Drosophila melanogaster: one gene and its partner. The protein of the gene in region 1 interacts with the protein of each later gene in a pairwise test. Each region holds a gene or a part of one and is shown in the gene's direction. Other genes may lie near its edges.

Evidence for each region. Proteins that work in one complex are often made in the same cells at the same time.
Region 2: the proteins of CG14086 (region 1) and CG5532 interact in a two-hybrid assay, tested with the Drosophila melanogaster proteins (one large-scale study listed by BioGRID).

Annotation. Positions count from the first base shown.
Region 1 is NT_037436.4:19,273,752-19,280,909, forward strand, and holds CG14086 (uncharacterized protein), read left to right. Parts: upstream 1-2,039; 5' UTR 2,040-2,841; coding exon 2,842-2,968; intron 2,969-5,177; coding exon 5,178-5,238; intron 5,239-5,288; coding exon 5,289-5,363; intron 5,364-5,633; coding exon 5,634-5,882; intron 5,883-5,946; coding exon 5,947-6,073; 3' UTR 6,074-6,168; downstream 6,169-7,158. Other genes in the region: CG14085 (uncharacterized protein), read left to right, coding at 1-183; CG14089 (uncharacterized protein), read right to left, coding at 6,375-7,049.
Region 2 is NT_033778.4:23,750,503-23,754,337, forward strand, and holds CG5532 (uncharacterized protein), read left to right. Parts: upstream 1-2,251; 5' UTR 2,252-2,327; coding exon 2,328-2,403; intron 2,404-2,462; coding exon 2,463-2,725; 3' UTR 2,726-3,013; downstream 3,014-3,835. Other genes in the region: CG12491 (uncharacterized protein), read left to right, coding at 183-656; CG11300 (uncharacterized protein), read left to right, coding at 1,447-1,920.

The DNA of each region.
Region 1 (7,158 bases):
TCTTTGAAAATCGACTACGTCAGTTGGTTGCAGATGCCGCTGTCCTTGAATCCGGAACGGACCTGTCTGCACTTAAACAGACGCTGCGATTTCCAGGAGGATGCCAAGCTGTCACTGCCCGAGGTGGCCATGGTGGCCGGGATTACCAAGATAATGAAGCGGCGCAAGGAGTTTCCCAAGTGAGCGGCGCGGAAAGCGTCATTAAGACGGAATGCACTTAAAAAAATGAATAGTGATGCAGACGCTATGCAAATGAGAAAAATTAGAACAGCTATCAAAGTGAGGAGGACACCAAATTGGATCAATAAATTATAAAAAGCCTTTTTTAAATGGCTACAAAGTAATTAACTCTAACCATATCTAAAAGACATTAACTAACAAACAAACATTACAATAAATGTAAAATTTTGTTTTTGCAAATTACAACTTTTTTCATTGTGTACAGTGTAAGACCAATTGCAAGCATAGAAGACCTGGACAAACGACTCCAACTGCAGGAGGCGGTATCAAGGACGACCTTCAGAAGTATTTCGCTAGAATCCTCGAGCTGTTCCTTAAGGAAATTAACTTTTCAGAGTGTGGGGCATCTGTGAATTATGTCGTAGATGGCGGCGACAGTGGAGACTTTCCTTGGGGCGACGGCTGCCACTTTGGATGTCATTAACGCCGCATAATGCAAACAAGCCTGACGACAGACACCTTAGCAAATGCACAGGACAATAAGCGGAGGAGCTAAAAAAATATTTACTCGTGCTTCCCCTCTCCTGAATTTGGCCCCCATTTAATTTATGAGGATGAGGGCGGTGTAGCAACCGAAAATGTTTTTGTCCACATTCTGCGTACTCGTCCGCCTCTTGGCAATTGCTCAGCTTTGCTCCTGGTTGTCTTTTGAGCTTCTTTACACCTCCCGCCGCTCCGCTCACCATTCAGCCAGTTATGAAAATTACTGAAACGTGGCCAAAGACGGGTGCGGGGATCCACAGGACCTGCAGGACGAGGGCACGCACACACAGAGCCGCTTGAGCAGTGGCAACAACATGAGGCACTGGCTTCACACACAGGACAACGTGACAAATAAAATCAAGCTGGCTTTGAGCAGTGGGCCGAGAATCCTGTTTTAGGCTTAAAACTTCAATATTTGTAATAGTTAAAGATTATCTTTACACCTGGTAGAATATTTATCAAGTGCATATAAGTAAGATTTTCGTTGTGTAAAATCGTAGGTAAATTTCATACTTCCCTCTTCTTTTACATTTGGAAAAATCGTAATCAAGTAAGCATTCGGGTGGGAATATATTTAAATCACACACAATATTAAGCTCTCGCCCATGGTGCCTTCTTGTAAAAAACCGCAGGACTATAAAGACTGACCCAATGCGCTACGCTACACAATAAATCGCGAGAGGAAACACTTTTTACAAAAAAAAAGAGATAAAACATACAAACAGTTCTAATTAAAATACTGAAGACAAAAAGAAAATTAATTATTTATTTGAGTTCCTTAATTATATTAACAATGTAATTCAAAAATTGTATTCCTACTACAATACTAAAAAAAAACCAAGTTAAATAACTTCTGATTGAAATTAAAGCATTATTCTAGTTAAAAATCAGCCCTATATTCTTGCTTTCAATTAATATATTTCAAGAGCATAGTTTTAAAGAATTCTCATACTGCCAACGCCAAATAAGTTTTCAAATACAAATGATAGTGGATGTCAAAAACAGCTAACCAATTAAAAACATCTTTAAAACAACATGGATAAATTTTGCGGTCTCCATAAATCTCAGCATTAAATCGCAAAAACGCATTTAAAAAGAAATAAACACTACGCGTTCGTTCTCGTAACAAATCAACTTAGCAGTTTCGAATGCAGCGCCGCCCCATTGGCTGGTATTTGGCTACAAAGTCAGTGGCAGTAGGAAAAGCAATGGGAAAAGCAGCCTGAGCGGCGACTCTGGATCCTGACTCCGAAAATAGAAACGAATCCTGGCCGGTCCTTTCATTCAGTTTCATTCTGCTGGCGCCGCTGGAAGCGTGCGGACGTTCGTTGTTTAGAGCTCGGCCATAAAGTCGTGTGGCAAAGTGGCACTTGACAAAAATAAAAAAAGTTACAAACCTTCAACAACAATAAGAAAAATATTTAATAAAAAAAATATATATTATAGAGGGCACACAACGTGCGGGGGCAAAGTGCAAATGGTAACGGTAATTTGCAGACATTAGTTGCCACACACACACACACACACACACACAAGCAAACGGTGCGGTGATTAAAGGCAATGGAAGGAGAGGTGCGAAAAATGTCACATTACGAATACGCAGTGTGTGCCCGAGTTAAATGGTGAAATTTAAAAGCTGTGCGAGCTGGAATTGAAAATATTTATCGCAAAGTTGTTTGGCCACTTAGTATGCCAGGCACGTAGTGCATTTTTGTGATGTGGATACGGCTCTTTGATTGTTTTATTAGCGATTCCCTTGGACAGGACCTAAAACGTCAGTTTCGGATGAGAGTATTTAAAGTTATGGAGGATTAGAAAGTAGTACATTGAAAATTTGAATTTAACCAAAAACTAAAATTGTTCTAAAGTGAAATTAAAAACGAATAAATATATTAAATAAATTGGAAATTAAGTAAGTGGAGCTTACACATTAATCAAAAATTTAAATGCTATGGCTTCGACTTTTGTCATCAGTAATAACGAAGGAGAAGAAAAACTTGAGCTCCAATAAATAAGATATTAAGAATAAAGCCGCACTTTTGGCGATTCATAAAACAAATATAGATAGAAATTCATAAAGTAAATATCTATATATATATATATATAACCAAGTCAGCCATGAGCCAGATGCAACTGCAATCGCAGCGCGTTCGCCGCGCCCGTCATCATCGCCGCAATCAGTCCGCAGAGCCGTGCGAGTGCCTTCGTCCTGTGATAAGGGTTTTTGGTCTGCTGACTTCATTCGGTAAGCTCAAGTGCGCGGAAATCCGAGCCAGTGGAATAAGACTTGTCGGTGCCGGTGCCCAGGTGACCCCCGTTTCGAGATAATGCCAATCTCGATACGAGGCTATGATGCATGTGCATGTGCATGCATTTATGTATGAATGTGCAATGCTTTTCTGGCCCTTATTTGGAATGTTTACCCTTGACAAATCGTAGGAAATACTTGTGCATGGGAACCATTGCCTCGGGATATGTTGAGTGCTGTGGCTTATTATATTTCTTGGCACTGAATGGGATTCGCAAGACGAAGACGATGCTGAATGGGGACACGCTCTTATTGGCTGCTTTTATTGTTCCTTTCAATTCATATAATATTACTCTTTGAGCAATATTTTCATTGTACACAAAGGTTTTGCATTTGTTTGAGAAGACTGGCAAAATAAATGTACATAAAAGGAAATGGTTTTCCATATTCACAGAGCACATATAGCACAGAATATGTGCTCTAATGAACAGGATATTTGACCTAATGTAATTTGGTAAAATAAATAAATGCCATCCAATACTACTGAAATTCCAGTTTAGCTTAACAATTAAATAGAACACAGAGAGTAAATTGGTAGAAGATTAATTTCCCTTTTTTTGCGTCATTTAATTACAATTCAATTATGCTTTTTTTGTACAACCCAGCTTTGTGTTACATTTTTTCCGTTTAAATTGAGGCAATAATTTTAGATTGACAGCCTGAAATTTAATGGCATTTCGTTTGTCAATTTACGAAGTCAAATTTAATTTATTAAACAGGCAAGGTAAAGTGAAGCAAAAACTTAATAAATAATAATATTACCTTTCTGAAATGAATTCAGTTTGGTTGCACAACGTAACTTTTTCACCCTGTATCCGCATTCTAATCTACGAAAATGCAATCACATTTTTTCATCCCAATTTTTCTGCCATCTGGTGAAGTTATCAAAGTTGGCTTAAACGCTTATCGTGGCCAATCATAACGATTTTCCTCCACCATCTGACATTTTCCTAATGCGCTTAAGATAGTGCACCGCCGTTTTTTTATACAGAATTTGATAAATCGCCCAGCTGCAGGCAGGCCAACAAAAACTTCGGGTCAAGTTCAAACTAATTTCTTTGCAAATTGTTTTGGGGTCCATCATGGGTGCAGTGGCACGCAGGAAAACAAAGTATAAAATCTCTGTAGTTCATAAGCTCCGCATTATAGGGATCGGGTAAGAGGGATGGGGTTTTCCAAGGAAACTCTCTGGCAGAGCCATTAACAAGGCATTGGCCTCTATGCAGCTTGCAGCTTGCAGCTCACGACTGGCATCCTGTGCCAAGAGCAGAGTTTTCCCAGCCCGATTTTCCCCTTATCAGCAACTTTTCCATACGGTCGACAATGAGCTGTGTTGTTAGCCTTTAGGCGCCAGCCATTCGCCAAGTTTTCCTCTTGCCCGGCATCTATTTTTCCCCCACCGCTTTCAATTATCCAGATAATTTTTGCATGTTTTTTCGATTTCCGCTTTTTCAATTTTTATCTCCGTTGACAGCATTTAATGTAATTGGTTTGGTTTCGGTTCTGCAGTTGTGCTTAAATATGGGGCATACATATACATATATCTAACTGGCTAATCTGATTGGTTTTTCGCGACCCGGCATAATAAAAACAACTTAATTAGATTGTATTTTTATGGACCACTGGGCGTGGTGGCTCCATAACCACATCTAACCATATCTTATACACTCAAAGTGGATTTGGCTAAGACAAAATGTGAAGCGGAACCATAATGTGGTTAGAATATGAATGCCCTGCGGAGGGCTGTTCGACAAAAATATAGAAACCTTTTAAGTTATAAAATTTAAGTTCGTCATGAATATTGAAGTTTCTTCCAAGCTATTTATTATTAATTATCATTATGTTATTTCGTAATGTGTAGGACATTGCCTTCTTAAAATACTCTATTGCAAATGATGTAAGCTTCAGTAAAATTGCGATAAACTTCTTGAGCTCACCTCGTTTCCATTCATTGGTTTTGTATTACATTTTATGGCCAAAGCATGGTAAACAAAAAAGGCCCAGCTCAATAAATATGCTTATAAATATATTTGCCTAGACACACTCACATTATTTTATAGGCTCGTTCAAGGATAACACTCCTCGTTTCAACCCGCCAAAAAGGACCCCCCGCACCGAACCTTTCTTTAGCCATTTTTCATTTCAGTTATCTGCGGCGTTGGCGTTGATGTCTACATGCATGGCTATCGGGCCGGTCTTTATATAGTGTAAGTCACGGATCTAAATATCCCCCATAACTATACTAATTTCTGGTTAGTTTTTCAGCCGTGCTGGTAATGTTTATCGAGATCAAGTGGCTTGTGACTATCTTCCTGCAACTTCAGTGCGCAGAGTAAGAAAACTATTCAAGATTACCAAATAACATGTTCATAAATTATAGTTATTCGTATATATATTATTTGATAATTAGCAGTTATTATTTATGAAATATAGAAATTCTAGTTACCAAGCCTAGTAGTTGTAAAACTAATTAAACCCTAATTATACTATAATATGATATACTTTACTATTATATACAATACTCTATATCAAGTGCCTTTGCTCAGATTTTTCTCTGCAAATTTTTCTCTGTTCACATATTTGTGAATTCAATTTGTTTCAGGGATAATTACCAGCGAAGGTCCTGCAGCTGCTTGGCCTGCTGGCGACTTTCAGCGATTTGTGGCGGTTGGCGACCCACTCCTGTTTATGCGGTCATCGGCATCTGCCTGATCCTGTATCCCCACAATCTGTGGCTGAGTTATGTGGCCGGGATGTTCCTGATACTCCTCGGACTCCTCAGACTGTGCACGCTGCTCCGATTCAGCGCCTCGAAGGAGGAGGGTCTCCTGCCGCAGTGCGACTTTGAAAAGTGATGCCAGCCAACGAATGTCTTTGTTATTTGTTTCTAATGTCTGTTTGTTCTGCGATGATAGGGTGTCGAGCTTTGTGGATACCATGGAGGATGATTTCGCGGAGATTGGTGCCACGCAAGCGGGATTGGATGAGGAAGCGGAGGAGGAGGGCGACGACCACACCGCCCTAGACGACGATGTTTGCTAATAGTTTAAGCCAGCTTTTCTGCCTAATGTAATGTGAGATTTTAAACGACTTAACAAATGTCTAATAATATACAGTTTGTAAAGAGGTTTCGATTTAAACGCTGAGTGCGTGGTATATTTTTATAGGTAATCGATAAACCCACACTTTGTATGATTTTTGGTGTCATTTATAAACGAAGCCACTCAAAAGTCAAAAAGGACATTCTTCAAAAGAATTTTGAAAGTTCCTTTTAAGTATTGGGTATCTGCTTTTTACCTACAGAAATAATTATCAAAGCTATTTCGTTTTAAATAATGTTATTTTAATTTCGTCTTTTATTGTTTTTTGTGCTAAACGGATTTCTGCGTTCACTAAAGGCCAAAATGAAGGGCTGGTCGTCGAATTCTTCGGTTTTTCTCAGACCAAAAGAACGCTCATTGCCGTAATCATACTCGTCCTCATCATAGTAGTTATAGTAGTGCCTCTGGTGGCCTTTAGGGCCTCCATGTCCATGTGATGGAGGAGGAGGAGGTGGAGGATACGGATACGGTGGATATGAACCTCCGGGATATCCAGGAGGACCCTGAGGACCAGGTTGGCCAGGGATTCCAGGCATCCCGGGGTGGCCCTTATCTCCACGCGGCCCCTTCTCGCCGGGATCACCCTTGGATCCTTTGGGGCCGGGATAGCCCTTCTGCCCCGGCTGTCCCGGTGGACCAGGTGGACCTGGAGGACCGGGCGGACAACCGCATGGCTGTGGCTGAGGATACGGATACGAATAGCTTGGCGGATAGTGTGGCGGATGATAATGTTGATGATCGTGATCCTCCTCTATGATCACTTCCTGTGGCGGGGCTGGAGCGGGACTTCCAGTTTGGAGGGTGATCAGCCGGGGCACTGAGGCATCATCCTTGGCGAAAACTCCCCCAAGAACAGACAGTAGTGCCACCAGCAGAATAGTCCAGTTCGCAGAGAGAACTTCCAGATTCGACGACATGCTGTGAACTAACGAAAATCAGATCGCAGTCACTTCTTTTATGTGGATAAATGCGTTTGAAAAATGGCAACAGAGGAGAATCATTCAAACTCCCGTTAAGATAGCTCAT
Region 2 (3,835 bases), on another chromosome or scaffold:
GGAACTTTCCACACCTTGTTCAACAAAACACTGCCGCAAATGCCACATGTTAAGATCAAACTAAGACGACGCACAGATTGAGATTTTGGACCAAACCCCTCCAGATAGATCGTATAAATAGCAGACACAGATCTGGATGCTGTATAGTACTTGAGTACAGTGTTCAACAGACAGAGCTTAAGATGAGACCCGAATTCGTCCTGGCCTTTGGTTTGGTTGTCCTCGTGGCGACCGTTTATGGTGGCACCGACTCATCCTCGAGCGACTCGTCCTCTTCCACATCACCCACTTCCAATTCATCGACTCCATCGACTTCCAGCTCAAGTTCGACACCCAGCTCTTCGTCCTCCACCTCAACTCCGTCCAGCAATAGCACTACGTCTACTTCGTCCTCCACTCCTAGCAGCTCTTCTTCCACTTCGCCCACTTCCTCCACCTCATCGACGACTGCCACAACCACGGCCCCCTCCACGTCCAGCGACACGTCCTCCTCCTCCACGAGCTCCGACAGCGAGGAGGTGGACAGGCTGAGGCGCAGGCTTCGCAGGCTCCGGCGGCTGAGGCGTCAGGAGAGGCGCCAGGAGATTCGCCGGGAGAGGCAGCAGGAAAGGCGCCAGCAGAGTCGTGCTGGAAGAAGGCGCCAACGTAGGGGATAAACCATCGGCTTAACCCGATCGAACAATGAAATGGTCCAAATTGAAAAATAAATGCATACACAAAAGCAACAATCGTAGTTATGACTTGGTAACTTGGCACCTTAAAAACAAGTGAAATCATTTGGATCGAATTGTTAGTCAAACAAAGAAATTCAATATTCGGTTTCATCTTGGAAAAGAAGAAGAAGGCTACACTATATACTCTAATGAAGAATCCTAAGTAAATCATTTTCCGATCTAGTTAGTTGATCAAGTGGAACTGGTCTAAGTGCAGACATAATTCCAGATGATAACTTAATCGATTAGGAACTTGCAAATGAAAGTGAAAAATAGGAGTTTGTTCTAAGTTTTCTTTTAGTGAGAATTCATTCTTTATGTACAATATGCCATCTTAATCTTTATTTAAGCTTAGAGGTTATTTAAATATGGCTTTCTGTTCAAAAGGCTTAACAATACATATTCATCTATTTAATAAACAATGTACCGTGTTTGCACACATGCTAACAATACGTTCAGCCAGCCAATCCAAAAAAAAACCGTTTTGTTTAATTACTAACGAATTAGAACTTTCCACAGCCATCAACAGCTTTCGCGCTTACAGAGAAGATAGTCTCGTCTTTTTATTGAGTTTAATCTATTTGTCTTGACGAGAACGTAAAATGTACTCTAAAACATTCAAAGCAAACACAGATTCGACAATTAAAGCGAATCAAGTGGATCATCCCTATAAATACTCGGATTTAAACCACTATCCACACAGTACTCCATTTAGTGACAAACTGAGCTGAAGATGCGTTGCCAATTCGTTATCGCCTTTGGGCTTTTGGCCCTAATAGCAACTGCCTACGCCGATTCTCCACCTGCGGCAGGATCCCCACCCGCGTCATCTCCACCGGCTGGAACCCCAACCTCGCCACCTCCAGCGACTGGAACACCGCCCTCACCATCCCCAGCGACTGGAACACCACCTTCAGCATCCCCAGCTGCTGGTACACCGACCTCGCCAACTCCAGCGACTGGAACACCGTCCTCGCCAGCTACTCCTGATGCGCCCGCTTCCTCGACATCACCAGCTACGCCCACATCGCCCAGTGACAGTGGATCCAGCAGCAGCCAGGAAGTGATTAGGCTCAGGCGTCGGCTGCGCCGGCTGAGGCGTCAGCTCCGCCGCGAGAGGCGTCAGGCCAACCAGAGTAATCAGAATGGAGGTGGTGGTCAGGGGCGAGTGGTTCGCCGTGTACACCGTCACCGTCGTCTATTGTAAAATTCACGAACATGTTGGCTACGAATTTGAAATAAAATTCCAGACAGAAATGCAATAAATCTAAAAAAAACATAAATGTATTGAATGGCTTTTTAAATTAGAGGAACCATCGCTCTTTTTGTAATGCATACATTAGTAAACTAACTTATATTTGCCCAACAAACTTTCTAAACATTGCAATGAATATTTCGAATAGAAGCGTTCTAAACATTGAAATAAATATTCTGATTAGGAAGTTCGTTGCACATATTTAATTCAAAATGACCGCGAAACGGTGCTGCCAGATGTCTGAATTTCGTGCACTGCGGAGCGGATCTTCTTTCTACTAAGGCAGGAAGGGTCATACTAACACCTCCACTTCTCACCAAAACAAAGGTTACCCCGAAATTTAATCAAAATAAATCGAAATGCCGGTGGATTGGTTCGGATATGTGTACGCAGCCACGGTCGCCGCCGGAGGAATCATGGGATACGCCAAGGCGGGTAAGTGACCAGCCCCCTGACCGTGGTCATGTCCGATTGTGCAACGCCCTGCATTCCAGGTTCCATTCCCTCGCTGGGTGCTGGTCTGGCCTTCGGAGCCCTGCTCGGCTATGGCGCCCACCTCAACTCCCAGGACACGCCTCGTCCCCTGCTCCAGTTGGGCACCTCCCTGTTCCTGGCCGGGCTGATGGGCGCCCGCTGGAACCGATCCGGAAAACTGATGCCCGCCGGAATGGTGTGCATGCTATCCGTGGCCGCCTTGGTCAAGAACCTGGCCACCTATAATCGCTACCTAATGCCCGCCGGCACAAAGGCCCCTTAGGCTAATTTCCGGCCACATGCTGGACTTGCCAGGAGATTGCCCTACCTTCATTCTTCATTCGTATTGAATAGGTTTTCTACTTTTCGGTGATTGGAACTTTGGTAATGCGCTGTGTCACTTTCTAAGATAGTGATTAGGAACTGTACTTGCTGCAAATATATTTTATCACCTATGCTTTTAACTTGTGGACTTCTTTGTACTCAATTGTAATACTTGGTCACATTTAATAGCATACTTTCAGGCACTTTGGTATGACAGTTCGCATAGAAGCACAGAAATACACCATTTCGTACATTCAAATCTTTTTTTGTATATTTATTGTTTAACTTAGCTTTTGTTTCTTTTGTGTGTGTGATAAATTTACAGTTTCATCTATTATACGATGTTCAGTTAACTACAACTAAAACTTAGCTATTACATTTTGTTGCTGCATGAAAAGAGCATTAGGCTAGGTAAACGTAGAGTGATGGATTTTTTTTTTTTTTTAGAATTTAGGCTTCTAACAAGTTTATTACAATAATGAAGTGAATAATTTGAGTTTTCTGCAGGCAAAGTGCGGCAAGGTAAGTATATTATCGATTCTCCACCTTTCTAGCATTTTCCCAACAGGAAACGATAAATATTTGTTAAGTAGAGTGTACAAATTATATATGTTTATCACATTGGAAAGTGGGATTATTATTAAATTTCCTTTCGATTGATTTGTGGCTCAAGAAATAATTTAGGTTGTCTGCCGAAAGTGCGTGCATGTGTAGATGAAGTTTTTACAGAATTATATGTACTATTTTACAAAATTGTTTGCATTTTGCATTAAATTAGATTACATAATATATGCGTGTACTGAACATAACAACATTGCTGGCTGCTGCGTTGCCCTCAGCAAACAGGCAATCATTTAAATTAGAATTAGCTGCGGCTAGAACTAACAACAAATCAATAGGGTTTCGTACAGAGTATAATAGTAATAAATTCTAGCTAAAAACACTTTAAGCTGCAAACACTTCTTCCAATTTCGATGGCAGTGACGTCTGCGTGCCAGTTCCAAACGTTCCCCCAATGCGGCTGCATTTTCACACTTTCACTAGAACGGAAACAGCTTCCAGTTAACCA